Anolis sagrei: one gene and its partners. The protein of the gene in region 4 binds, or shares a complex with, the protein of the main gene of each other region. Links are inferred from orthologs where the notes say so. Each region holds a gene or a part of one and is shown on either strand. Other genes may lie near its edges. The genes, in order: PIGQ, PIGY, DPM2 and PIGC.

Region 1 (7,989 bases), on a different chromosome or scaffold from region 4:
GTAAATCTCTTTTAACATTACCATGAAGAAACAAGAAAAGAAGTGGAAACCTAGTCACATTTACTCATTACATGTCATTGCCTCTGGTTTTTTCCTGTCAAAAGTAGGACAAGCCACGCCACAAAGCTTTCTAAAGGAGGATTTTTCATTGTGCCCTTCTCACACAATTACGAAATGTTCTCCCCAGGGCCACCTATCTGGCCCCAAAATGACCATCCTTTTCAACACTGGATTAAACTATTTTTCAATTTGCACTGATGGGATGCGACTGGACAATTTTTAGCCAATTAACTATGCCTAAAATTTGTTCCTGAGGGAAGGGATACTGACCAGATACAGAGGAAAGGCTTTTCTAGCTTGCTTTATAGCAGAAAAGTTTTTAAAAACCCTCTGAACATCTAGTTATAGGAAACACATGCAAAGCAATCATTTAGTTACTGGAAAAATTGCGGTGCCTTGTTTCTCAAAGCAGAACCCAAGACAAATCCAAATGGCATGTCTGCCTGGAAAGAACCAAGTTCCAACATTCCCTCAGCTACAAAGCACACCAACATAAATGTTCATGTCTACAGCCCACATAATCAGTGCATACAAGCATATGTCCTTACAAAAATAACCAGTCTTTAATGTGCACAAATCTTTGTTGTTTTTGAAACACAGTCTCATGGAAAAGTAGTAAAAGCAGGTTTCTGCATTTTTTTGTTCAAGTGGGCACCTCCATATACAGGCAGTCCACAAGTTACAGACAACACAGGTTCTGTAGGTTTGTTCTTACGTTGAATTTGTATGTAAGTTTGAACAAGGACATTTTTAAAGTATAATTCCAGATAAATATATAGATAGCATAGGGAAGGGTTAACACTCCTATGGTGTTTCCTTTGCTGTCTGTGCCACTGCTCAGAAGATTTCACCTCATTTTCCATCCCTGGGAAAACTGGATTGTGAAGAATTTGGCTGGTTGTGGAAAAAAGGACCGGAGAAAATTAGAGACCAGACCCCCTTTCCCCCTGATAACAACTCTTCCAGGAGAGGATTTCCTTTCCTTTTGAAGGGGAAGATTTTTTTCATTTCCTGTGGTTTTGCCCCATTCTTATGCAGGAGCCATTTGTAATCGGGTGTTTGTAACTTGGGAACAGCCTATATCTATATATCTGAGATAAATATTTGGAAGGGACCCCCAGAGGCCATCCAGTCCAGCCCTGTTCTTAACTAGGAGCCGTTTGTAAATCGGGTACTTGTAGCTCGGGAACTGCCTGGAATTGAATCCATAAAAGTTAAAAAGCAGTAACGTGGAGGGCAAGAATCCTTGGCTCAATGCTCATCCTTAGGGACCATTGCTAATCACGGATGTGTCACAATGACCTAGCCTCTGTGGGAGAGACCTTTAGAATGAATAAATGGAGCGTGTGCGTGCGTCACAGCCAGGACATGTTTCTCCGCGATCCTGATCCCTTGCAGAATGCGATGCGTGAGTCATGTGGCTGCGGAATGGAAAGAGCCAGCCGCATACTCTGACATCTAAATTGCACTGCATTCCCCTCTCCGTGGATGAGGAGGAAGACAGGGCAGTCTGACCTGAATGATGGTCAGACTGGATGGCCTTTGGAGAGCTGAAGTTGGCCCAGGCCTGTTTTATACTCTATTTGTAAAGCTGTCAGGTAGTTTCTTAGGACCCTTCTACACTGTCATATAAAACCTAGATGATCTGCTTTGAACTGGATTATATGGCAGTGTAGAAGGGGGCTGAAGGCCCTTCCACACATCTGAATAAAATCCCCCATTTTCTGCTTTGAACTGGAATATATGGTAGTGTGGACTCAGATAACCTAGTACAAAGCAGACATTGTGGGATTTGCTGCCTTAATATTGAGTTATATGGTTGTGTGGAAGGGCACTCAGATAACCCAGTATAAAGCAGAGAATGTGGATGATCTGCCTTGATATTCTGGGTTATATAGTAGTGTGGAAGGGCCCTGAGTCTGCACTGCCAGATAATCTGGGATAAACAGAAAACCTGGGATCGGATCCTGGGATATAGGGCCTAACTGGAAGGGCCCTGAGGCCCCTTCCACACAGCTGTATAAAATCCCACATTATCTGCTTTGAACTGGGATATTTGGCAGTGTGGACCCGGACAATCCAGTCCAAAGCAGTTATTGTGGATGATCTGCCTGGATATTCTGGGTTCTATGGCAGTGTGGAAGTGTCTTGGGTTGAAAATGCCGGGACCTCAACTGACATACAGCCCTTCTACACTGCTATATGATCCAGATTAGCAGAGCAAATAATCCACGTGATCAGTTTTGAACTGGATTATTATCTGTAGTCACTTCCACACAGCTGCATAAAGTCCACACTGAAATGGACTCAGGGCCCTTCCACACCACCATATAAACTAGAATATCAAGATAGATAATTCCATAATATCTGCTTTGAACTATGTTCTCTGAGTCCACACTGCCATATAACCCAGTTCAAAGCAGATATTGGGCCCTTCCACACAGCTCTATATTCCAGAATATCAAGGCAGAAAATCCCACATTAGTTGAGTGTGGACTCAAATAGCGCAGTTCAAAGCAGATATTGTGGGGTTTTCTGTCTTGATATTCTGGGATATAGGGCTGTGTGGAGGGGCCCACTGTGGGATTTTATACCGCTGTGTGGAAGGGGCCTCAGATAACCCAGTTCAAAGCAGATATTGTGGTTTTCTGCCTTGATATTCCGGGTTACACAGCAGTGTGGAAGGGCCCTGAGTCTACCGGCTGTTAGGAATTGTGGGAGTTGTAGTCCCCAACACCTGGAGGGAGGACCCAAGTTGGCCCATGCCTGGTCTAAGGTACCTTAAAGCAGATCATGTGGATGATCTGCCTGGATATTCCGGGTCATACGGCAGTGTGGAAGGGGCCGGTTCAAAGCATGACTTACTTTCACCAGGAGGCAGCAAAGGCCGCGCGCCGCTTGACATTGGAGCCACTTCCGGCGGCGAGGGGGGCGGTTGCTAGGAGACGCGGTCCGGCTCGGATTATCATCCGGGCGGCTCCCTCGCTCCCAAAGGAAAGGTTCCGGCCAATGGAGTTCCTCCTCAACCTGGCCCACAGAAAGGCGCCCAGTGGTTGGAGGGAAGGAGGGAAGTCAGGTAGGAGAGCCCTGCTATTAGGAAAGCAGCGCCTTGGGTTGCATCCACCATAATGCCAAGTTTTTAACGATGTTTGAGGAGTTTTGGGGTTTTTTCCCCTATACATTATAGCTGTATTCTCAATTTGTTTCTGACATGATAAATAAATAGATAAATATCCCGAAGGAGACTCAAAGCGGCTTGACATAAAAGCATTAGCATTCAATTTATTATTATTATTATTATTATTATTATATTTATTTATACCCCGCTTTATCTCTCCCAAAGGAGACTCAAAATGGCTTGACATAAAAGCATTAGCATTCAATTTAATAATATTATGTAATATTATTATTATTATATTTATTTATACCCCACTTTATCTCTCCCAAAAGAGACTCAAAATGGCTTGACATAAAAGCATTAGCATTCAATTTAGTAATATTATGTATTATTATTATTATGTATTATTATTATTATTATATTTATACCCCGCTTTATCTCTCCCAAAGGAGACTCAAAGCTGCTTGACATAAAAGCATCAGCATAGACATTAAAATATTATTATTATTGTATGATATTTATTTATACTCTGCTTTATCTCTTCCCAAAGGAGACTTAAAATTAAATCATTAGCATATGATTTTAATTACACAAATATATGCAAACATTAAAGCAGGATTTAACTGTGAAAGAATTCACAGTTAAAAAGCATTAAAATATGTGCAATGTTAAAAACCACAATCTCTCTCTGTCATTTAATAGCAAAATTCAAGCAATTTCAACTAGAACTAAATAGATAGATAGTAGAGTATCAAGAGATTCTTTCTTCTTTTCTTGCATACTAACCTGACGAAGCCTAAATATTCCAGAACAGCAAATGTAAGAGAGCAATCCTTCAAATAGCAGAGAAATGGTCTGCTGTTTTTGACAGTTACAAGAGTATTCTTCCAGCAAAACTAGGGAGGGATATATGCAAAATTCAGATCTTTTTACAGCAGACATAGGTGGGACACACATTTCCCTTCCAATATAATGCCTGCTTTTGTGTGATAAGCCTCTGGCGGTACGAAGCAATCTTCACCTTTGCTTTCGCACAGTTTTGCTGGACATTGATAGTGCTGTAGATGGCAACCATGCCTTCCTTCCTTCTAATCTTATTTGTAACCATATAGCTCCGTACAATGCAGTTAAACAAAGTTATGAAACTGCATTCTATAGTAAGTAAGTAAGTAAAACTTTATTTCTTTCCCGCCCTATCTCCCCATGGGGACTCAGGGCAGTTCACAACATAAAAGACAAACGTTCAATGCCGTAAAATACAACAATAGGCGAAAACAATTTAAAATAAACGAAACGTCGCATTCGACAATAAAATAGATCACATGAAAACAATAATAGTAAATTACAGGATGTTAATAAGACAAAGTTAAAAGCCATGTCTAAATTCCATTCCCTATTTCATAGTGCCAGATCTTTTAACATTCGCATCACCATATGCCTGAGTGGCACTGTTCTGATCTCCTTCAGGAGGGAGTTCCAGAGGCGAGGGGCATGCCAAAGAAATGAACCATATTACATATATAAACTTCTACATTCTAACCCCCCCCCCCCCGAAGACTTATGATTTAGAATTACAGCTTGTGCATCCCTTCTTTGGAAATCCAAAATTGTTCAGATAGACAGCTGAGATGGTGGCAACCTTGCTTTCTAATGGACCAACCTTTTGTTTACTGCACAAAGTTAGTAAAAAATATTGTGTATAAAATCATCTCAGGCTATGTGTATAACGTGAATATGAAACATATATGAAGCCCATCTCCAAGGTATCTTGTTATGCGTGCATTTAATAATGATAATAATAATTATTATTTTATTTTTTACCCGCCCCTTCTCAAGGCTCGAGGTGGGTTACAGAATAATTAAAACACATAAACATTGCAAAAACACTACAGATGCACATATTAAAACGTATTCCTATAAAAGCTACATATCAAAAAGTATTTCTATAAAATAGATATCAAAATTCACAAAATAGAGATTAACAAAGCACACACATTTAAAAATCATGCTTAAAGACTGACTGTTGTATGCAGATACAAGTATTCCAAAATCTGGAGAGAGAAAAATAATCCAAGATCCAAAAAATGTTTGGTCCCAAGCTTTTTGGATAAGGGATACGCAGTTAAGACAAACATGCCTGATGAGATGGAGAAACACACAAATCATCGTTTTCTACAACAAAGAGCAAAACATAACACAAACTGTTGTAAAATAAGGAAACGTTCAGGAGCCGGCCTTCTTTGCTCCATATATTTGGACTCAAGCAGGCTAAATGGTTTATCCAGTGCTGTTTCTGGCCTGAGGACTCTCCCTTTTTTTTGGTGTCATTTTGAATGTTTCTTTCCATGCCGTTACTGTATCCTGTTGCGTCTTTTCTGTTTACTTAAAAGGAATCATGGCACAAAAAAATTAACGTGCTGTTGTAAGATCAGTTTCATCTCCAGAGCAGTTTGATGCATAATTGGAGAAGTGCACATACCAGCTGCATCTACACTATACAATTAATGCAGTTTAACACCACTTTAATGACCATAGACTTCATTCCACTGAACATGTCAAGTGTTTGGAAGAGTAGGTTTACCATACGGCTCAGGCATACTCTGTTTTGAAATTAAATGGATGATTTCCCTACCTCCATCACACACTAGCAAACTCTCCATTTTAATCAGGAGTTCTCAGTGGATTTGCCATCACATTGCAGGGTATTGTTCCTGTCCACTGTCCCGCTCCCATTTTCTTTGTGAAAAGAAATACCTCCTCTCCTGGGCTATATTTTTGGTTCATGGGTTATCAATGTCATTTCCTAATTGGTTATATCATGAACACATGGGAAAAGTTTATTAAATTGCAAAATTTTTGTCTTTGCAGGAGGGACAGCATCCTGCTTTGGCACATTTTGCTCTAGTTTCTCAATGATCCTTCTCTCTCTCTTTCTCTCTCTCAGTTTCTTTCAGTTTCTTTCACTCTCTCTCTCACTCACTCTCACACACACACTTTCCTCATATTGGAAGAAGGAAAAAAGCAGGGCAAGAAGGAGAGGAAGAGGAGGTAACACATGGCACACACAATACATAGAAGAAAAGAAGGAAGGAAGGAAGGAAGGAAGGAAGGAAGGGGAGGAGGAGGTAACACATGGCACACACAACACATGGAAGGAAGGAAGGCAAGCAAGCAAGCAGGCAAGCCACCAGAAAGTGCAAGAGACAGAAAGGAACACAGCAAACTGCCAATCTTTCCTCCTCCGTGAGCAAAAGGTAATCGTAGAGTTTTTTCTCAAAAGAGCATTTCGGCTCATCCCACAAATTGCTCAACTGTATCATTTTAAATCACATGACAGAATTGGCCATTTTGCCCACCTCTAGCTGGATAATTTGCAAAAAAGTCATTTGCCAAACAGCTTAGAAAGCGTCTGAAAAGATAACCCTTTGCAACCCCTTTTAAACACTAAGATCTCTCTACCCTACACTTGCTAGAGCCTACATCATGTGATGAGCCCAGTAGGTTGCCTTTTCTTAAGTGGGTGGCTCTGTAGCATTTAATGAATTTGATGAAGTGGCAGGTCTCAATGCTATAAGATTCTGGGGTCTGTAGTTTGGTGAGGCACCAACATTCTTTGGCAGAGAAGGCTAAAGATCTTGTGAGACCTTATAAACCACAACTCCTGTGATTCCATAATTAAAGTGTCAAACTGCATTGATTATGCAGTGTAGATGTACCTATTCAGCTCGTGAGGCAGAGTCATAAATGTAATGTGGGAGCATGGAAAAATCCTACTTTGCCCTCCTTCTAGGAGTTACATTCGGACTGTCACTGGGTGTAACGTCAGCACTGTAATAGGGCCGTACGCGGTATTTGAAGACTTTGATGGAATTATCCCCACTGTCAGCAACAAAAAGCAAACCCTGTGTGGAACAAGCAATTCCTGCTGGTCTCTGTAGACCTTTTGATACCAGGCAGATTGGGGATCCGCTACTGGGAAACAAGTACACTTTCTGGTGTTGTTCATCCGCCACAAGAATGTTGCCTTCACTATCGGAACAGATCCCAGCGGGGTTGCCAAAGTGGTGGTGATACTTGCTGCTGATGGAAGAGAGCGGTTTGTTAGTGTTACTGAACACCTTGACGTCCCCGCACTCTTCGCTCACCGCAAATCCTCCTTCGGGGGCCGGGCACACGTAACGTGGCCCTTGAAGGTTGGAGATGGAGCGGACACCCTGCATCTTGAAAGCGCGGTCTAAGGCGAAACAGTGCACTTGGCCTTCTGTGTAGTCGGCCACCAGTATCTTTCCGGACCCATCAACTCCAATCCCCCTGGGGGCAGAAAACTTTCCAATGCTTAGCCATTCGCCCTTGGAGAACTTAGAGTGATTGTTGAAGATGCGGATGGTTCCGTTCACCATGTCTGTCACGGCCACCAACCCTGCCCTGGTGAGGGTCACATCCTCAGGCAAAAAGGTGCCCTTCTTTTTCCATTCTATACAGGGCAGGGACCGAAATGTGTGGCCCAGGCGGTTGAGGGTGTGGACCCTGGGGGCATTTTCACTCGTCACATAGAGAACCCCATCAAGGGAGCAGTGAATTCCACATACGGCTCCGTAATGGTTGCCATTGGGGTTTGGCATCCGCTGAACCAACTCATCCTGCCGGAAATGGAGATGATTCCTGATATTGTCCAGGTCGTGGCAGATAACCTTGGCTTTCTCTGCCAGCTGATGAACTTGGTCCTCGGTCACCATACCCAGGCCAGGGTGGTTGCTCAGGAGAGGGCTGGCTTTTTGAAAAGTGGCATCCGATTTAACTTGGAGGCTATA
Region 2 (6,090 bases), on a different chromosome or scaffold from region 4:
CCCAACAAAGGATTCCCCGCTTTGAAGCTGCAAGGCTATTCAATGCTAATCAAGGTGGCCATCTGCAACATTCACACTTGCCTCAACCCATTAAAACAATTTATAGCAATAAACAGCCATTTTAAAATACATAGTTTAAAAATGTTTTTGAGTATTGAACAAAATCTGGCTACCAGTGTTAAAAAAACTCTGAAATCATATTGTCGAAGGCTTTCGTGGCCAGAATCACTGGGTTGTTGTAGGTTTTACAGACTATGTGGCCATGTTCTAGATGCATTATCTCCATGTTCTAGATGCATTATCTCCTAAAATCCCCTTGTGGGAAAGCTTGATTCCACGACCTCCATTATTATGAGCCCTCCTCCGCAAATAATCTGTTTCTTTCTTATCTCGCCTGAGTTTTTAATCAGTTTTTAATCAGCCTTTCTTTTATCCATTACATGTAGCCCGCCCATTGTCATTGTGATTGTGCCTATTGTAATTTTATATTGCCATGTTTTCATTTGTTTTAAGTAATTACGTTGTTGTTGTTTATTGTTTGCGTTTTTGGTTTTATTTTATGTAATTATTGTCTGGGCTTGGCCTCATGTAAGCCGCTCCGAGTCCCCATTGGGGAGATGGTGGTGGGGTATAAATAAAGATGATGATGATGATGATTATTATTATTATTATTAGGAGCCCCCGGTGGCGCAGTGGGTTAAACCTCTGTGCCGGTAGGACTGAAGACCGACAGGTCGGAGGTTCAAATCCGGGGAGACGTGGATGAGCTCCCTCTATCAGCTCCAGATCCTCGTGCAGGGACATGAGAGAAGCCTCCCACAAGGATGATTAAAAAAAATCAAAACATCCAGGCATCCCCTGGGCAACGTTCTTGCAGACGGCCAATTCTCTCACACCAGAAGCGAATTGCAGTTCTAACGTTTTAATTGAATATGATATATGACGTTTTTAATTATTGTTTTGTGATTTTATTGTTGGAAACCGGCCCGAGTCCCTCGACAGAGGGGAGAAGTCTGGTATACAAAATTGCTAAATAAATAAATAAATAAGTTGCTCCTGACACAACAAAAATATATTATTATAAAATCAAACTCTAAAATCAAAAGAATAAATAAGCAACACACTCAAAAACGGGGGAATTCCAGACAAGAAACAATCAAGGCCAGCTAATCACCCCCCAGCAAAGGACTCCCTCCCCAGGCAGGAAGCAGCCAGACCTTGAAGCTGCAAGGCCATTCAATGCTAATCAAGCTAGCCAATTGCAACATTGACACTTGCCTCAAGCAGACCAGAGTTCTTTCTCCCACCCTGGATATTATTATTATTATTATTATAAATTCAAACTCTAAAATCAAAACAATAAATAAGGAACAACCCTCAAAAACGGGGGAATTCCAGACAAGAAACAATCAGGGCCAACTAATCACCTCTCAGCAAAGGATTTCCCCCCAGGGAGGAAGCTGCCAGACCTTGCAGCTGCAAGGCCATTCAATGCTAATCAAGCTGGCCAATTGCAACATTGATACTTCCCTCTATCAGACTAGAGTTCTTTCTCCCACCCTGGATATTATTATTATTATAAAATCAAACTCTAAAATAAATAAATAAATAAATAAATAAGGAACAACCCTCAAAAACGGGGGAATTCCAGACAATAAACAATCAGGGCCAACTAATCACCTCCCAGCAAAGGATTCCCCCCAAGGCAGGAAGCAGCCAGACCTTGAAGCTGCAAGGCCATTCAATGCTAATCAAGCTGGCCAATTGCAACATTGACCCTTCCCTCAAGCAGACCAGAGTTTTTTCTCCCACCCTGGATATTATTATTATTATTATAAAAACAAACTCTAAAATCAAAACAATAAATAAGGAATAACCCTCAAAAACGAGGGAATTCCAGACAAGAAACAACCAGGGCCAGCTAACCACCTCCCAGCAAAAGATTTTCCCCCAGGCAGGAAGCTACCAGACCTTGCAGCTGCAAGGCCATTCAATGCTAATCAAGCTGGCCAATTGCAACATTGATACTTCCCTCCATCAGACTAGAGTTCTTTCTCCCACCCTGGATATTATTATTATTATTATTATTATTATTATTATTATTATAAAATCAGACTCTAAAATCAAAACAATAAATAAGGAACAACCCTCAAAAACGGGGGAATTCCAGACAAGAAACAATCAGGGCCAGCTAATCCCCTCCCAGCAAAGGATTTCCCCCCAGACAGGAATCAGCCAGACCTTGAAGCTACATATTATTATTACTATTATAAAATCAAACTCTAAAATCAAAAGAATAAATAAGGAACCCTCAAAAACGTGGGAATTGCAGACAAGAAACAATCAGGGCCAGCTAATCACCTCCCAGCAAAGGATTCCCTCCCAGGCAGGAAGCAGCCAGACCTTGCAGCTGCAAGGCCATTCAATGCTAATCAAGCTGGCCAATTGCCTCAAGCAGGCCAGAGTTCTTTCTCCCACCCTGGACATTATTCCACGGATATATGAACCTCACTGGCCTAGTTTCCCAACAGATTTCACAACCTCAGAGATGGAACATGGCCAGCCAGCCCAACTAAACCCAATCTTTAGTTCTTTGTAGGAACCTAGAACATTGGCTCTCGCTTTCCAAGGGACTGCTTTCGACAGCACACTCATTCGGAGGAAGCAGTCTGGTGAAGCTGACTTCCTTTCCCAGCTGACCTTGGAGCTGGCGCTGGCAGTGAAGGCGTGCAACCGTGGAATCATGCCGATGCTGCCTCTGGGTTTCCTGCGCCTCTCCGCTTGCGTTCCGCTCTGGAGGAAAGGCTCTCGGGCTCTCTTCTCCACGGCGGCCGGGAACGGAGGCGAAGGCCCCGAGGGAGAGAAGCAGAAGCCGCCCTTCGAGGCCAGCCTCCTCCAGGTCCTCGTCTGCCCCTTGTCCAAGAAGCCGCTCAGGTGAGAAGCCAATGGGCTCCCATTAGAGGCTGTATCGGTGTAGTTTCAATGGTTCAATGCTATGGAATCCTGCTTGTTTGTAGTTTGGTTGGGCGCCTGCCCTCTTTAGCACAGAAGGCTGCAGACCTTGTGGAACTACTCCTCCCAGAATCCCATTGACAGTTAGAGGTATCAAACTGCATTAAAGTCTACAGTGCAGGTGGATCTTGCAAGTTTTTTTTTGTATCTTTTTAAAATGGCATTTCATTGGGTTGCTGTGAAGCTTCTGGGCTGTATGGCCATGTTCCAGAAGCATTCTCTCCTGACATTTCGCCTACATCTATAGCGGTGAGCTTTGTTGGAAACTAGGCAAGTGGGGTTTATATATCTGTGGAATAATGTCCAAGGGCGGAAAAAGAACTCTTCTCTGCTTGAGGAAAGTGTGAATGTTGCAATTTGGCCACCTTGATTAGCACTGATTGGCCTTGCAGCTTCAAGGTCTGGCTGCTTCCTGCCTGGGAGCGGGGGAATCCTTTGTGGGAAACTAGGTAAGTGGGGTTTATCTGTGGAATAATGTCCAAGGGTGGAAAAAGAACTCTGGTCTGCTTGAGGAAAGTGTGAATGTTGCAATTGGTCACCTTGATTAGCATTGAATGGCCTTGCAGCTTCAAGGTCAGGATGCTTCCTGCCTGGGGGGGATTCTTTGTTGGGAGGTGATTAGTTGACCCTGATGGTTTCTGTCTGGAATTCCCCAATTTTTTTAGTGTTGTTTATTATTGTTCTTTATTTACTGTTTGGATTTTGGAGTTTGATTTTATTTATTTATTTATTTATTTATGACATTTATATGCCGTCCTCACCCTGAAAGGGACTCAGAGCAGCTTACAAGATACACGCACACACACGCACACATACATACAATATATATTATTAGCATAGTACAATATCAGTATTGTATATTACTATATTGTACTTATACCATTAAGTACAATACGGTATGGTATAAGTGTACTTATACCATACCTTTTGTTTACTGGTGTCCTGTTGGGCTTGGCCTCATGTAAGCCGCTCTGAGTCCCTTGGGGAGATGGTGGTGGGGTATAAATAAAGCTTTTATTATTATTATTATTATTATTATTATTATTATTAAATTGTATTATTAGTAATATTACATGTAATATAAAATATATAATTATAATATCATATTAGTAGTATTATGTTATATTTCATTAACCCACTGCGCCACCGGGGGCTCAATGTTATGCAAATACTGGGAGTTGTAGTTTAATGAGACACCTGCATTCTTGGACAGAGAAAGTGAAAGATCTAGTGAAACTACAAACCCTGCCGGCTGTTAGGAATTGTGGCAGTTGAAGTCCAAAGCACCTGGAGGTCTAAAGTTTGCCCGTGCCTGGTCTAACTGTACCTAGTGGGGTGTTATAAGGATGCCTGACACATTATTATTATTATTATTATTATTATTATTATTATTATTATTATTGCCACTAGCATATTACATCTTACTGAAAGACTGGTTTGCATACTTCTTTGTCCCAGTACCATATTCTTAAAGAAATGGCAATAGCTGGCTTGACATATCAATATTTGTTATGTTTCCTAGGTATGAGGAGTCCACCAATGAATTAATCAACGAAGAGCTGGGCATTGCCTACCCCATCACTGACGGCATTCCTAATATGATCCCCCAGGCTGCCAGGATGATTGGCAAAGACAAGCAGGAAGGGGAACCTGAGCGGACCTAGACGTTTTTTCTTCTTATAAGAAATCCACAGGTGAAGAAAAATGTTTCTGTCTCTGCCTACGATGACTGTACTCATCCCGGTGTTGTCTTTAGCTGGACTGTTTTATTCGGCCAGCGTTGATGAAAACTTCCCTCAGGGTTGCACAAGTACAACCAGCCTGTGTTTCTACAGCCTGCTGCTTCCAGTTACCATCCCAGTTTATGTGTTCTTCCACCTCTGGACCTGGATGGGCCTTAAACTCTTTCGCCACAACTAGGTTAGGCTGAAATGGGTGGACATGGACTAAAATATGTGCTTTCTTTTTATCTGTCTGCAATAGGATCAGAAGTCTTCCCAAACAAGTAGTGGACTAAACATATTGAAATAATCATCCACACAAGCGAATAGAAAACTTGCTTTTACCCTTCCAACTCTAGCAAACCTAGTTCCAAACCAAATCCATAGGAATGATGATGGATCATACAGATAAGGTGGATGAAACACACTGTAATTTCACGAGCTATCTGCTTTGCCCACAAGAAAGTGACTACATTTCCATCTTTGGACCTGTATAGTCAACCCTGTGCAGAAATATACCATGGTAGAATTTTAAAGTGTTGCCAGATGCTTTCAAGCCGTTTTCACAGTTCCTTGGAAGAATGGCATTTAGTGCAGAATAATACTTGATGACACCCTAAATGGATTTTCTGTCATGGCGCTATTGTGTTTCCAGGATGTCTTTTAACATTGTTGGACATGGTGATAATAGTACTCAGGATTTTGCTTTCATTAAATTGCACTGTTTTCTACCCATAGCTTTTATGCTTGAATGAGTGATATTAACAGATTGTGATCAAAACAGAATTATAAGGAAACCGAAAGCAATTATTTCCCACTAATAAAGCAACTGAAAAACCAGGTAGATATGTTATTATTTTTTTGCTCAATGCTTTATTTGGATTTTCACCTTAAAGGGGATAATCCCCTTACCTACAATTTTTGTGCCATACTAATCTGGCTCCAGAGGGGTTTTCCAGGCATTCAGAACTGGATTTATAGGGGTGAGGGTTGCAGCGAGAATGGGTTTTGCCCTTGTAGTTCCACTAAATAATATCCAGCATTAGAGTCAGCCCAGAGGTTGTTTTTAAAAATGGCAATACACATTTGTTCTGCTGATGAGTGCCTCCCTCCAGTTTATGGCAGTTCTTAAGGGATTTTTTGACAGATTTTGATCACAGACCCTCTTTGTATTAAACTTCCTATGAGGCTAAGAAAATGACAAGGTCACCCTGTGAGTTTCCATGGCGGCCCAGGGAATCAAACTCTTTTCTTCAGTGCTAGTCCAATGATCAAAGTACTAGACCATGTTACTAGTAAGGTAAAGGTTTCCCCTGACATTAAGTCTAATTGTGTCTGACTCTAGGGAGAGGTGCTC
Region 3 (7,566 bases), on a different chromosome or scaffold from region 4:
TCAGTCCTGCCGGCACAGGGGTTTAACCCACTGTGCCACCGGGGGCTCCTATATATAATATGAGAATTGAAGACGTCCTGAATATATATGACATAATATATATAAAATATATTAATATATATAATTATATATTATATTAATATTAATATTACTATTATTATTATTATTATTATTATTATTATGAGAATTGGAGGGGTTCTGAATATTCACATGGGAGGGATCAATGTATTCTGCCTTTATTTATTCCTTTAATATGGGATCAAAATAAAAAAAGCAAGCCAGTCCATACCAGTACGATGATCCAGACGGTATAATAAGCGAAGAGGAGAAGGCTGAAGGCAACCAAGCCATAGCCAACCAACTGGTCAGTTGCAGTGGCCTGAAAGGGAAAAAGGAGAATCAATGCTGACCCCTTGTCTATCTGTCTGTCTATCTGTCTATCTGTCTATCTATCTATCTATCTATCTATCCATCCATCCATCCATGTGTGTCTATCTATCTATCTATCTATCTATCTATCTGTCTGTCTATCTGTATATCTATCTATCCATGTGTGTGTATACAATGTATGTATGTATGCCGGTTTCTACCACCAAGGCTTCTCCGTGGTTTGGTGGATTTGGACCAATTTTGGCACTTTGTCCCTTCATGGTCCAGCTATAAAGGAAGAAAAGGGCCAAAGCGGATTTGCTGTGCCTCAGTGAAGGACCGGCTGTTGCTAGGTGAAGTGTCCTGCCTGCTACAAGGAGACATGTATATGAAGGGAAGAATGAAGGGAAAGAAAGGAGATGAGAAGGAAGGAAGGAGCCCTGTGAACCATTGCGGAGATTAAGATCCTCCGGGGAGGCCCTGCTTTCCATCCCGCCATTGTCACAGGCGCGATTGGTGGGGACGAGAGACAAGGCCTTCTTGGTGATGGCTCCCCGGCTATGGAACTCCCTTCCTGGTGAGACCAGGTCAGCCCCCTCCCTCCTGTCCTTTAGAAGGATGGTCAAAACTTGGCTGTGGGACCAAGCTTTCGGGACAGGGCAATAAAGTGGCAATAGGAAAGATGACCGGGCCAATTAGATTTGACGCTGATGACTAGGACAGTTTTAAATGGTGTATTTTAATATTTTGATCATTTTTTTTTTATATTTATGTTTTGTATGTGAATCTGTGTTTGCCGTGTATATGTTGTGCTCCACCCTAAGTCCGCTTCGGGGTGAGAAGGGTGGAATATCAATGTTTTAAGTAAATAAATACATTTTATAATGTGCTCATTTTAGTCAAGCTGTCAATACAAATCATCTTGTTTAGTGTGGCCATGTCTTACAGCAGTTGTCACCACAGATCATCGGGCGTTGTGTTCTGAGTTTTAAAATGTTGTTTTATATATGCTATAGTTTTGCTCTCGTGTCTTGTCCTCTGTGTCTATTTTATGCGTGGTTTTAGGCACTTTGCATCATATGAAAGACGCCCCAAGTCCCTTCGGGGAGATGGAGGCTGGGTACAGAAATAAAGTGACTGTCTTTATTACACACATACTTATATATATATATATATATATATATATATATATATAAAATGGCAGCGAATGGGGAAGCCTCTTAATATGCATGGAATATGTTCTCTCTTCCAAAACATCCTATTTCTGTTTCAATTTTATTTTAGTGCCTGTATTTCTTCATTTTGAATCACAGGGAATGTAATTAAAAAAAAGATATTTTTGAATTAATGTTTTGAAACATGTTATTGTGTGTGTGTATAATTTTAGTCTCTATATATAATCTATTATTTTATTCTATGAACACATATATATCATAACATTTATGTATTTAATATTAGTCTCTCTATATATAATCAAAATTCTATATATACATATTTATTACTTTATTCTACACACATACATACATCATAATATATATGCATATCATTTTAGTCTATATCTATATAATCTATATTCTATACATACATATACATTATATTCTACAAACACATATATAATATATATGCATATCATTTTAGTGTATATATAATCTATATTCTTTATATATATATTATTCTATACATACATATATATATATCAATAATATATCTCGACTAAAATTATATACATATATATATATTATTGATATATGTGTCTGTAGAATAAAATAACATATATGTATATAAAGAATATAGATTATATATACCCTGACATTACATGCATATATATTATTTTATTCTATACACACATATAATATATATGCATATCATTTAATGTATATCTATATCTATATCTACGTATATATTTTATTCTATACATACATATATATCAATAATATATATAGACTAAAATTATATACATACATATATATATATATATATTATTGATATATGTGTCTGTAGAATAAAATAACATATACGTATATAAAGAATATAGATTATATATACCCTAAAATGACATGCATATATATATTATTTTATTCTATACACATATAATATATATGTGTATAATTTTAATGTATATATATATTCTTTATATACATATATATTTTATTCCATACATACATATATATATATATCAATAATATATACAGACTAAAATTATATACATATATATATCATTGATATATGTCTGTAGAATAAAATAATATATACGTATATAAAGAATTTAGATTATATATACACTAAAATTATATGCATATATATTTTATTCTATACACACATATAATAATATATATGCATATAATTGTAATGTATATCTATCTATCTATCTATATATAGATATCCCTTATATGTATATCTTTTATTCTATACAGACATATATATCAATAATATGTATAGACTAAAATTATGTACATATATATATATTATATAAAATAATATATACGTATTTAAAGAATATAGATTATATATGCACTAAAATTATATGCATATATATATATTATTTTATTCTATACACACATATAATAATATATACATATTGGTTATCTTTTGGAAATCTAAATGTATAATCCTAACCAAAGCAACCTCTCCCATTGGCTTTTATTCCCAGACTCACCATTGTGAAGTTCTATTTCCTGCTTGGGAAGACTTCCTTCCGGTGCCATAGAGGCGGAAGGAGAAAGAGCGGTCGCAGAGCCATAGAGGTGGGTGCTTTAACCGCCGCGCATGCGCACAGCAGCGGCTAAGAATGGGTTTCTAGCCTCTCCGTGGCAGGCCTCCCGCGCATGCGCACAGCAGACTTCCGTCTCCTTCGGAGGCTTCCGCGCACGCGCACAGAGTCCAGGCTCGGGTCATAGACTCCTTAAAAGAGGAGATGCGCGCCTTGTGACCCTAGACTCATGAAAGAGAAGAGTCATTCGCAGGCCTGCAAAGCTGAGGCTCATTTGGAAACCGTGTATGGATGGGCTTGAGAGGGAACTGTCCTTCCAAATCCTGGAAGGAGACTCGGTTTGCTCCATTATGTACCTTTCATGTTGCAGACTGTGGCTGGAAGCCATGCAAGGTTGGACTGACTCATGTCATAGAATCCTAGAGTTGGAAGAGCCCTCCTGGGCAATCATCCAGTCCACCCCCATTCTGCCAAGAAGCAGGAATATCGCATTCAAAGCACCCCTGACAGATGGCCATCCAGCCTCATCGAATCCTTGAGTTGGAAGAGACCTCCTGGGCCATCCTCCAGTCCAACCCCATTCTGCCAAGAAGCAGGAATTGCATTCAAATCACCCCTGACAGATGGCCATCCAGCCTCTGTTTCAAAGCTTCCAAAGAAGGAGCCTCCACCACACTCCCTCCGGGGCAGAGAGTTCCACTGCTGAACGGCTCTCACAGTCAGGAAGTTCTTCCTCATGTTCAGATGGAATCTCCTCTCTTGTAGTTTGAAGCCATTGTTCCATTGCGTCCTAGTCTCCAAGGAAGCAGAAAGGAAGCTTGCTCCCTCCTCCTCCCTGTGGCTTCCTCTCACATATTTATTATACATGGCCCTCATCATATCTCCTCTCATCCTTCTCTTCTTCAGGCTAAACATGCCCAGCTCCTTAAGCCGCTCCTCATAGGGCTTGTTCTCCAGACCCTTGATTTGCTCCCTCCTCCCTGTGGCTTCCTCTCACCTATTTATACATGGCCCTCATCATATCTCCTCTCATCCTTCTCTTCTTCAGGCTAAACATGCCCAGCTCCTTAAGCCGCTCCTCATAGGGCTTGTTCTCCAGACCCTTGATTTGCTCCCTCCTCCCTGTGGCTTCCTCTCACCTATTTATACATGGCCCTCATCATATCTCCTCTCATCCTTCTCTTCTTCAGGCTAAACATGCCCAGCTCCTTAAGCCGCTCCTCATAGGGCTTGTTCTCCAGACCCTTGATTTGCTCCCTCCTCCCTGTGGCTTCCTCTCACCTATTTATACATGGCCCTCATCATATCTCCTCTCATCCTTCTCTTCTTCAGGCTAAACATGCCCAGCTCCTTAAGCCGCTCCTCATAGGGCTTGTTCTCCAGACCCTTGATTTGCTCCCTCCTCCCTGTGGCTTCCTCTCACCTATTTATACATGGCCCTCATCATATCCCCTCAGCCTTCTCTTCTTCAGGCTAAACATGCCCAGCTCCTTAAGCCGCTCCTCATAGGACTTGTTCTCCAGACCCTTGATTTGCTCCCTCCTCCCTGTGGCTTCCTCTCACCTATTTATACATGGCCCTCATCATATCTCCTCTCAGCCTTCTCTTCTTCAGGCTAAACATGCCCAGCTCCTTAAGCCGCTCCTCATAGGGCTTGTTCTCCAGACCCTTGATTTGCTCCCTCCTCCCTGTGGCTTCCTCTCACCTATTTATACATGGCCCTCATCATATCCCCTCAGCCTTCTCTTCTTCAGGCTAAACATGCCCAGCTCCTTAAGCCGCTCCTCATAGGACTTGTTCTCCAGACCCTTGATTTGCTCCCTCCTCCCTGTGGCTTCCTCTCACCTATTTATACATGGCCTTCATCATATCTCCTCTCAGCCTTCTCTTCTTCAGGCTAAACATGCCCAGCTCCTTAAGCTGCTCCTCATAGGGCTTGTTCTCCAGACCCTTGATCATTTGAGTCGCCCTCCTCTGGACACATTCCAGCTTGTCAATATCTCTCTTGAATTGAATTGAAATGTCATGGGTGAAATAACTTGGGAGCACATGGTTCTTTTTTCCTTTTGCATTTAGCACCCAGAAAATGCAAGAAAAAAAAGGCAGAAGGTTATTTGATGGCAGGCCCGTTAACAACTCCTCGTTTGCAATTCCTAGAGAACTTCCCATCTTGTTTATTTATTTTATTTTAACCTTGTTTTTCATCCCTAACTTTCCCTAGTAAAGTCCAAGAGTTTCTCTGTCTGTTCCACAACAGCTGTCACTGGGTGAAGTGGCCCTTCACGATGTCACTGGGTTGGGTGGCCCTCCACAGTGTCACTGGGTGAAGTGGCCCTCCACCGTGTCACTGGATTGGCTGTCACTGGATGAAGTGGTCCCCCATGACGTTACTGGGTTGGCTGTCACTGGGTGAAGTGGCCCTTCACGATGTCACTGGGTTGGGTGGCCCTCCACAGTGTCACTGGATTGGCTGTCGCTGGATGAAGTGGCCTCCCATGACGACAGCTAGTTAGCTGTCGCTGGGTGAACTGGCCCTCAGTAGCGATGCTGGGTGAGGTTGCCCTCAGTGATGTTTGTGGGTTGGCTGTCACATGTGAGGTGGCCCTCTGCGATATTGCTGGGTTGGCTGTCACTGGGTGAAGTGGCCTGAAGGAAGCGTGAAATGTCTTATTCTTCTACTTTGTATGTGTCCTCTCTGAATTGCAGATGTTAGGGAGGGAAAGGAAAGAAGGAAGGAAGGGAAGGCAAGAAAAGCAAGAGAGGGAGGAAGAAAGAAAAAAAGAAAGAGTGAAATGGAGGAAAGAAGGAAAGAGAAAAATGGAAAAAGTGAGGAGGAAGAAAAAAGAAGGAAAGGAAAGCATATGAAGATGGAAAGAAAGAAAAAGAGAGGAAAGAAGGGATAAAGGAAGAGAGGGAGGAGAGAAAGAACAAGGAAAGAAAAGAAGGAAAGGTGCATGACGGAAGCAAGAGGCGGAAGGAAGGAAAGAAGGGAGGGAAAGGAAAGAAGAAAGGGAGGGAAGGCAAGGAAAGGAGGAGAGGGAGGAAGAAAGAAAAAGAAAGAGTGAAATGGGGTAAAGAAGGAGAGAGAAAGATGGAAAAAGGAAAAAGTGAGGAGGAAGAAAAAAGAAGGAAAGGAAAGCATATGAAGACGGAAGGAAAGAAGGGCTAAAAAAAGAGAGGGAGGAAAGAAAAAGAAGGGAAGAATAGGAGGAAAGGTGCATGAGGGAAAGCAAGGGAAGGAAGGAAGGAAGGAAAGGAAGACAAAGGGAGAAACGGAGTAAGGATGGGAGGGAGGGAAAGTAATGAAGGAATGAAAGGCAAGGAAAGAAAGAGAGGAAGGAAGAAAGAAAAAAAAGGAAGTGTGAAATGAAGGAAGGAAAGAAAGGTGGAAAAAGGAAAACATGAGGAGGAAGAAAAAAGAGTGAAATGGGGAAAGAAGGAAAAAGAAAGATAGAAAAAGGAAAAAGCGAGGAAGAAAAAAGAACGAAAGGAAAGCATATGGGGATGGAAGGAAAGAAGGGCTAAAAAAAGAGGGGGAGGAAAGAAAATGAAGGAAAGAAAAGGAGGAAAGGTGCATGAGGGAAAGCAAGAGAAGGAAGGAAGAAAGGAAGGAAGGAAGGAAGGAAAGGAAGACAAAGAGAGAAACAGAGGGAAGAAGGAAAGTAAGAGAGATGGAAAAGGGAGAAAATAGGCAGGCATTGGTCCCATTGCGTACACATGAAACGAAACGGTAAGGAAACAAACCAGGCCAGGTGTGATGTACCAAAAAGAAAAAGAAAAACCACCTTTATTTGTTTTTCTCCCCCGCAAAAAACGGTAATGACATTTGACATTATATAGTGAATTTCCTCTTTATATGTGTGGCTTCTCTACAATAAGGAAGGAACCGGAGAACAGAGTACAAACACGGATCATCGGTCGAGTCAAAGACGGCACAGCATTCCGTTAAAACAGGAACGGGCCTATTCCGGCCTCCTGGTGTTTTGGACTACAACTCCCATAATTCCCAGCAGCCGGTCACAGCCTCAGGCCTCTTCTTTTTCCCCCTCAGCCGCTTAAGCGGCTGAGGGGGAAAAAGAAGAGGCCTGAGGCTGTAACCGGCTGCTAGGAATTATGGGAGTTGTAGTCCCAAACACCGGGAGGGCCAGAATTGGCCCGCGTCTGCATTAGAAAAACAGAAACACCAGAGGAACCTCACAAACCATTCGAAGGAAAAATAACAATAATCAAAAACTGAGCAGCCGAACTAAATGCGACCTCTAGACTTCCTTTTAACCGCAAAGGGCTTTTTATTTTTATTCATTTTGTAAAGATTTGTAATTAATCTGCTTTTTTATCAAGGCCCCTCCCCTCCCCCAAAAATATTAGAAAGTGTTAAAACTATCTCTTGTTTGCATAGTCCCGTATTTATTTATTTCTCCCTTTTCCAAAAATAATCGTCATCACCTCCGCGCTCGAATCTCTCGCTTATAGAAGTATCTGAATAT
Region 4 (7,592 bases):
CTGTGGAGGTCTGTGCTGAGCTTTATGACTAGAATATGATTGGGATTGCTTGAAAGCTTGATGGTGTTTCTATTTCTCTTCTACTACAGGGGATTTCCCATGGAAAAGGACAGTGCAAAGGCAAGCTTTGTTGCCTACATGGATGAAATTGCTGCTTGTATAGGGGTTAAGCCTAACTTGCTGTTGCTCTTCCTATTGGACCCCCAACTAGCCTTTAAAATTCTTTGTGGACCTTGCACTTCTTATCAATTCCGTCTGACTGGACCTGGGAAATGGGAACAAGCCAGAAGCACAATCCTGACAGAGTGGGACCGAGTTCTGAAGCCCTTGAAGACGACAGTCAACAATAGTTCCAAAGACTCCACAACTTTTTTCTGGTTTATGTTCCTTGGCTTTTCATTCCTTGGGGCTTCTTTGGTCATTTTAAAAACTCATCACATTCATGACTACCTAGGATGAGAGAGGTGCACTTTTCATATTACATGGATCTCTTGGTTTCATTGTACTGATTAGGTATATATCCAATACAATAAAACAAAAAGGAAATCAGACATTAAAAATATTTTAAACAAGAGGCATACAATCCTGCATAGCAGTCAAGCGTTCAGACTGAACAAAAATGTGACTTTCTTTCAAGTAAGTTGTGAAACAAGACTGGGAAACATACCATGATTTAAATTTTGCCCAATTATTACTAACCCCTTCAAAAAACACAAAATATACAACAGCAATTATATCCTTAAATAAAAGAGAATAAAATGTATCAAATATAGTCTTAAAATTGTTTTGTATTTTTGAAAAAATTGAGCACAGCAAACTTATAAAGTACAACATGTCCCTCTATTTCACATGGAAATTCTGTAAAGCAGTGGTGTCCACACTTTTTAAACTGAGGGCCAGTTCACAGTCTGATGGGGGGTGGGCAGACTATCTATATATATATAAATGTTCTGTGCATAATGAGTACCTTAAAAACAATGAACGAAATCACACCAAATTTGGCAACAAAATGTCACACAACACAAGGAGTGACCATCATTCAAAAAAATATGATTTTGTCGTTTGGGAGTTGTAGTTGCTGGGATTTATAGTTCACCTACAATCAAAGAGCATTCTGAACTCCATCAACAATGGAATTGAACCAAACTTGGCACACCGAACTCCCATGACCAACAGAAAATACTGGAAGGGTTTGGTGGGCATTGAACTTGAGTTTGGGAGTTGTAGTTCACCTACATCCAGAGAGCACTGTTGACTCACACAATGATGAATCTGGATTGAACTTGGCACAGATATTCAATATGCCCAAATATGAACACAGATGGAGTTTGGGGGGAATAGACCATGACATTTAGGAGTTGTAGTTGCTGGGATTTATAGTTCACCTACAATCAAAGAGCATTCTGAACCTCACGAACGAGAGAATTGGGGCAAACATCCCACACTGAACCCCCATGACCAACAGAAAATACTTCAGGCCACCCAGTCAAACTCCCTTTACCAGGGGAAGAAAAAGTAATCAAAGCCCTCCTGACAAAGAGCCATCCAGCCATAGATATATATGATTCACACACAGAGAGATATAGTATCAGATTTGAAAGGGACCCCTAAAGAAGGACAATTATATGTTGCCTATTCCAAAGTAGGCAAACCAGACCATCTCCACATCAGCACTGACAAAGAAACAATATATACTGCTTACCCACACGCACAAATACATTACATATATTAGAAATCAACACCTTCTCATTATTTTCCAAATCACCAGACTGGGCCACAGCAACGCGTGGCAGGGGACGGCTAGTCTATATTTAAAAAATGTAATGTTTGTTTGTGGGATTAACATAACTCAAAAACCACTGGACGAATTGACACCAAATTTGGACACAATACACCTATCAGCCCAACAAGTGATTATGACTCATAAAAACACTGAAAAACACAGGGAAGAGACTTAAAAAGCCCAAAAATTAAAAAAAAAACCCATTACAACGCATGCACAAAACCACACACACACAAACACACACACACACACACACAAATATATACACACACATATATGAGTATATGTGCTGGTACAACTGTACCAGGAGCTCCAATTTTGTTTGCTTTGTACTGAATGTCTGTTGCAGTCCTAAGTTTCAGAGACTCTGCAGATAGGTGGCTTCTTTTGGCTGCAATCATAGGGCAAGCCACCTGTCAATTATAGTTAGGTTCCCTGGTCCCGCCCCCTTTTTGGGTTTTTGGAGGGAATAGGAGCCTTTTTGGGTCAGTACACACAGAGAAGCTTTCCATACAGGACATAAAACCAAGAACTCCTGTAGAAAGCTTCGTCTTCTACAGCTTGGCCAAGGAGAAAAGGCCCCATAGCTTGGCTGAGGATTTTGCAGCCTTACAGCTCTTTTGCTGAAGGACTTCAGCCAGCCATCACTGAAACCTGAACTCCTTCTTTTCCCCTGGAAGTCTACAAAGCTCTGCTTGGTAAGGGTCGCTCGCGGAAGCCAGACGCAGTTGGTACCGGGTGTAGGGGCTCCACACCAACAGAGGCAAAGACAGACTGCCCAGATTAGAAGTTAAGGATTTCCCCATTAGTTAGTATACAGTTATGAAGATAGTGCCTGTTCCCAGTGAACAAGATTGCAAGAGCCAATAGACTGTTAAGAAAGCTTTAAAATATTATTAAACTTTATTTGTACCCCGCTAACATCTCCCGAAGGACTCGATGCGGCTTACAAAGGCCAAGGCCTCAACACACAATACAACAATGCAAAACCTAAGCAAATTAAAAACAATTAAAGCAAACTAAACAACAGCAATGAACAATCCACTAAGACACAATAAAACTGGGCCGGGCCAGAGTAAGGGTACAAGGGTTAAAAGTGCTGATGTGACAGGTGGAATATGAGGCTTATGGGCAAGTGCAGTGTGCGGTGTGCAACGGTTTTAACTTTAATAAAGTGCTTATGGGACTTGGAGGTTTCCTATTCGGGGAAGGCACATCGGAACAGCCAGGTCTTCAAGTTCTTTCTGAAGACTGCCAATGTAGGGGCCTGTCTAAGATCTTTCGGGAGGGTGTTCCAGAGTCGGGGGGCCACCACGGAAAAGGCCCTGTTTCGTGTCCCTACCAAACACGCTTGCGACGCAGGTGGAATCATGAGCAGGGCCTCTCCAGATGAACGAAGAGAGCGTGTGGGTTCGTAGACGGAGATGCGATCACGCAGGTAGGCTGGTCCCAAACCGTTCAGGGCTTTGTAGGTAAGCACCTGCACCTTAAACTGGGCTCGGTAGATAAATGGCAGCCAGTGGAGCTCCTTGAACAGCCTGTTTGTTTTCATTAATAAAGATTGCTCACCGGAGCGACATACAGGGAGCATACCACCCCCCTGCTGTGCCAGCTCCACTGGCTGCTGATTCAGTTCCGAGCACAATTCAAGGTGCTGGTTTTGACCTACAAAACCCTATACGGTTCTGGTCCAGTGTATCTGTCCGAACGTATCTCCCTCTACGTCCCACCCCGGAGTCTGAGATCATCTGGGGAGGCCCTGCTCTCGACCCCACCACTGTCACAAGTGAGGCTGGTGGGGACGAAAAGCAGGGCCTTCTCAGTGGTGGCCCCTCACCTGTGGAACTCACTCCCGGGGGAAATTAGGGCATCATCATCCCTCCTCGCCTTCAGGAGGAGGGTGAAGACTTGGTTATGGGACCAGGCCTTTGGGCACTCTGGCAATTAAATCAGACAATCAGGCGAGTAAGACCAGCAGGATTGTTGAAGTGGAATGTAAAACTAGATCTATGAGTTAACGAACGCTGACCATGTAAGAGGAGAAATTGGGTTTGTATTTGGTTTTATTGATTTTATTGATTTTATGGTTATAGTGCATAAATTGTTGTCAACTGTGAATTGATGTAATTTTGTGTATGGTTGTTTTATGATGCAGGCATCGAATTGTGCCTTTGCTTTTGTAAGCCGCCCTGAGTCCCCTTCGGGGTGAGAAGGGCGGGGTAAAAGAACCCCAAATAAATAAACTTTGTTGAACTTTTAAGCAATCTAAAGACTTTGTTTTAAGGAAATCCAAGGACCTTTAATCTGAGGCAGCCCCGGCGTCCCATTGGGCACACAGAATTTATGTCCTGTCTACAGTCTGATGCACAGGCCCAGCGTGCGACAGCACAGTATATGCACACACAAAACACATATATAAAGACTGGGCCACAGCAATGTGTGCCAGGAGACGGCTAGTATAATATATAAACATTTCTTGGGGCTCCATGAGAAACCTTTCCTTTAAAAGGGGATGAAGAAGTTTGAGAAACTCTGAACTAGAGCATGGATCCACTTTAAATGCTATGGCCGCCTCCTTCCTGCAGAATTCTGGGGTTTGTAGTTTAGTGAGGCCCAGCACCTGCCTGGCTGAGCGGCTTAAAGGCCCCTCCCTAAACTACAAGCCCCAGAATTCAGCGGGACGGAGGCAGACACAGGATTTAAAGAGACAGATGCTCTGTGGATGAGGTCCAATGTACGTGAAGGGAAAAGGGACCCAACCTGAGGCGTCTCTTACTTGGAACGGCAGTGGGCGCAAGTCACCAACGAGGAAGAAGGGGAGGAAAAGGGACGGCCCAGATCCCCGCCTTCCTCTCTTCTGTGGGCCGCCTCTGTCAGTTGAGAGGAAGGTAAGGCCAGGGCCCTTCCAGCCCTTCCAGCAGTGGGATTATTAACAGGAAGCTCTGGAGGGGGAAAGGGGATGTGTCGCCCCCTCAGCCCTTGACTGACGTAGAGACGGGGCTCGTGCCGGGAGGACGTAGGGCGCGATGCGTGAGAGGAGGAGGTGCGCGCGCAGAAGGCTCGCGCGCGCACTAGGCCCTCTGAGACAGTGCCTCACAAAAGCGCGGGAATGAGGGGAGGGGGCTTCTTAATGTGAAGAGGAAGCGGGCCTGCAGCCTGATCGCCCTTAGCGAGGGCCTCATGATCAGAGTTATATTTTGAATGAATGTATTTTGACACATTTGCTTTTTGCTGTGCAATTATGGGAGTTGTAGGAGTACTAAATAATAATAATAATAATAATAATAATAATAATAATAATAACGCTATGAAATACGACTCGCTGGAACACCTCAGCAAGCGAGAGTCCAAAAGTGGCAGGCTCAAACCCAGAACCTCAACCAATGGCTAATACCAAATGAGAGACTTCCCCCTGGGCACACAGAGGACTGGGCGACTTGGAAGGCGCTGAACAGACTGCGCTCTGGCAACACAAGATGCAGAGCCAACCTTCAGAAATGGGGCTACAAAGTGGAATCCTCGATATGCGTATGTGGAGAGGAGCAAACCACTAACTACCTGCTGCAATGCAACCTGAGCCCAGCCACATGCACAATGGAGGACCTTCTTGCAGCAACACCGGAAGCACTCCAAGTGGCCAGATTCTGGTCAAAGGACATTTAATCAACTACCAAACTCACAAATGTTGTACTTTGTCTGTTTGTTTGTTTGCTTTGTTCTGTTAGAAATGTAATATAATTAACTGGTTGCCCTGACATGACAAATAAATAAATAAATGTTACTGGGTTACAATCAAGTGCCAGTTAATACCCCCCAAACAAAAGATGCCTCCAGGCTAACAACAGCCAGGCTGCCTCTCACTGATTGACTTTGCAGCTGCTCAGTGCTAATTAACCTTGTTATTTATTTATTTATTTCGTATCAAAAGCATTGCATAAATTAGTATAGAACCAATAAAAATAGAAGGAGCGCAGACAGCTAAATATCTTTTGACCAAAAACGGGCAACAGGAATGGCATTGTCTGTAGCCTCCAACAATTCTTCCTCTGTAAATGAGGCAGGGCATTGTGGGCAAGCACACAGGTGCGGAGTTGTCTGTTCTGCTCCACAGTCACACAAGGTGTGGGATTCTTTTAGGTAGTGCCATTTTGCCATGTTGTCTTTTGATCTGCCCACTCCACTTCTGAGTCTGTTTAGGGGCTTCCAAGTTGCCCATTCTTGGAGGAAAACAATGCCTCCACAGCTCAGTGAGGCTGTCCATAAGAATACTATGGTCAATGCTATCAAAAGCCAGTAGAATCCACAGGAACACATTATGGCTAGGTCTCTCTGTAGGTCATCTACAAAAGTGGCCAAACCAGGCCTGAAACAAGATGAAATGGATCCAGCAGCTAATCATGGTGCTCAGGAAGGAAAATGTAAGAACAAGATAGAAAATGTGAAAACAATTGTGTTCTCTTGCTTGCACACTTCCTTGCTGTTCTTTGAAGAGAGTTGTAAGCGCCAAGGGAAAAAGCCTTCATGGGCTTCCGTGGAAAAGTTCCCTTATCTCATATTCTTTTACATCTTCTGCTTTTTTGCAGGGTAGCAAAAAGGGAATTAATTCCTGCTCACAATTGGATTGCCTTGCCTCATCAGTAGACTCTTTTTTTTTTTCAGCAGTGACAAGGCCTTCAGTTCTGGAGGTAAGTAATAATAATAATAATAATAAATAAATAAATAAATTAATTAATTAATAAACATTATTTATACCCTGCCACCATCTCCCCAAGGGGACTCGGAGTGGCTTACATGAGGCCAAGCCCAACAATACAGCAATGCAAATAAACAACATACAACGACAATAAAATATAAAAAATAAAAATATAAAATGCAAAAAAACCTAATATAAATAAGCACATCAAGCAATGTAAAATCACAATAATTTAAACACAGAAAATAAAAAAGGAAATAAGTACACCTCCTTTGATTTGACCAATCAATCTGGTATCACCCAGGGTACTGACTTTTCCATTTTCTGAACCATGTTTTCCATTAGCTAATTGAATTTTTCATTTTTATTGGTAGTGATGATATGTGAATAAGGGGACTGCCTACTTGTATCTGGATTTTGGAAAACTTGGTTTAATTATGTTGTCTTGCTTTTAGATTTCAGCTAAAAATCTGGAAAATCATCAAGAAATATCGATACAGGTTTCATCTTCTGTGACATAATACGGTATTCCAGTGCAAGTGGATCTTGAAGGCAGTAATTTAGCCAGATGCATGCTGCGACTCCAGATGGCACAGAACAGAAGACAATGCTGGCAGAAAGTGTTATACAAGAGGCAGCCATTTCCTGATAACTATGTGGACCGAAGCTTTCTAGAGAAGCTACGCAAAAATGTCCATGCACGTAAATACCAGTACTGGGCAGTGGTATTTGAATCTGGACTGGTGATCCAGCAGCTGTGCAGTGTGTGTGTCTTTGTTGTCATCTGGTGGTACATGGATGTGGGACTGCTAGCTCCCCAGTGGTTGTTTGGAGCTGGATTGATCTCTTCACTAATCGGCTATGTCCTCTTTGATGCCGTTGAATCAGGAATAGGAAAAAGTCAGAGTGACCAGTCACAGTGGGCTGATCTGAAGAATGCTGTGGTATTTGTGGCTTTCACCTATGGCTTCTCTCCAGTACTGAAGACTTTAACAGAGTCCATCAGCACAGATACAATTTACGCTATGTCTGCCCTTATGCTGCTAGGACACTTGATCTTTTATGACTATGGAGCCAATGCTGCGATTGTGTCCAGTACACTATCTCTCAATATGG

What was found.
Region 1: PIGC (region 4) and PIGQ share a complex: the UniProt entries of both Homo sapiens proteins name them as parts of the glycosylphosphatidylinositol-N-acetylglucosaminyltransferase (GPI-GnT) complex. The link is inferred for Anolis sagrei from reciprocal best matches to the Homo sapiens genes PIGC and PIGQ.
Region 2: PIGC (region 4) and PIGY share a complex: the UniProt entries of both Homo sapiens proteins name them as parts of the glycosylphosphatidylinositol-N-acetylglucosaminyltransferase (GPI-GnT) complex. The link is inferred for Anolis sagrei from reciprocal best matches to the Homo sapiens genes PIGC and PIGY.
Region 3: PIGC (region 4) and DPM2 share a complex: the UniProt entries of both Homo sapiens proteins name them as parts of the glycosylphosphatidylinositol-N-acetylglucosaminyltransferase (GPI-GnT) complex. The link is inferred for Anolis sagrei from reciprocal best matches to the Homo sapiens genes PIGC and DPM2.

Annotation. Positions count from the first base shown.
Region 1 is NC_090034.1:27,568,130-27,576,118, reverse strand, and holds the start of PIGQ (phosphatidylinositol N-acetylglucosaminyltransferase subunit Q), read right to left. Parts: upstream 3,002-7,989; 5' UTR 2,926-3,001; intron 2,920-2,925; exon of another isoform or gene 2,841-2,919; intron 1-2,840. Other genes in the region: NHLRC4 (NHL-repeat-containing protein 4), read right to left, coding at 6,949-7,398. UniProt on the Homo sapiens protein: Part of the glycosylphosphatidylinositol-N-acetylglucosaminyltransferase (GPI-GnT) complex that catalyzes the transfer of N-acetylglucosamine from UDP-N-acetylglucosamine to phosphatidylinositol and participates in the first step of GPI biosynthesis.
Region 2 is NC_090025.1:20,335,923-20,342,012, reverse strand, and holds PIGY (phosphatidylinositol N-acetylglucosaminyltransferase subunit Y), read left to right. Parts: upstream 1-4,716; coding exon 4,717-4,932; 3' UTR 4,933-5,573; downstream 5,574-6,090. Other genes in the region: PYURF (protein preY, mitochondrial), read left to right, coding at 2,744-2,934, 4,535-4,676. UniProt on the Homo sapiens protein: Part of the glycosylphosphatidylinositol-N-acetylglucosaminyltransferase (GPI-GnT) complex that catalyzes the transfer of N-acetylglucosamine from UDP-N-acetylglucosamine to phosphatidylinositol and participates in the first step of GPI biosynthesis.
Region 3 is NC_090031.1:2,448,815-2,456,380, forward strand, and holds the start of DPM2 (dolichol phosphate-mannose biosynthesis regulatory protein), read right to left. Parts: upstream 3,022-7,566; 5' UTR 3,004-3,021; coding exon 2,986-3,003; intron 380-2,985; coding exon 290-379; intron 1-289. UniProt on the Homo sapiens protein: Regulates the biosynthesis of dolichol phosphate-mannose. Regulatory subunit of the dolichol-phosphate mannose (DPM) synthase complex; essential for the ER localization and stable expression of DPM1.
Region 4 is NC_090024.1:131,146,035-131,153,626, forward strand, and holds the start of PIGC (phosphatidylinositol N-acetylglucosaminyltransferase subunit C), read left to right. Parts: upstream 1-4,585; 5' UTR 4,586-4,671; intron 4,672-5,826; exon of another isoform or gene 5,827-6,201; intron 6,202-6,366; 5' UTR 6,367-6,468; intron 6,469-6,931; 5' UTR 6,932-7,048; coding exon 7,049-7,592. Other genes in the region: dimethylaniline monooxygenase [N-oxide-forming] 2-like, read left to right, coding at 90-459. UniProt on the Homo sapiens protein: Part of the glycosylphosphatidylinositol-N-acetylglucosaminyltransferase (GPI-GnT) complex that catalyzes the transfer of N-acetylglucosamine from UDP-N-acetylglucosamine to phosphatidylinositol and participates in the first step of GPI biosynthesis.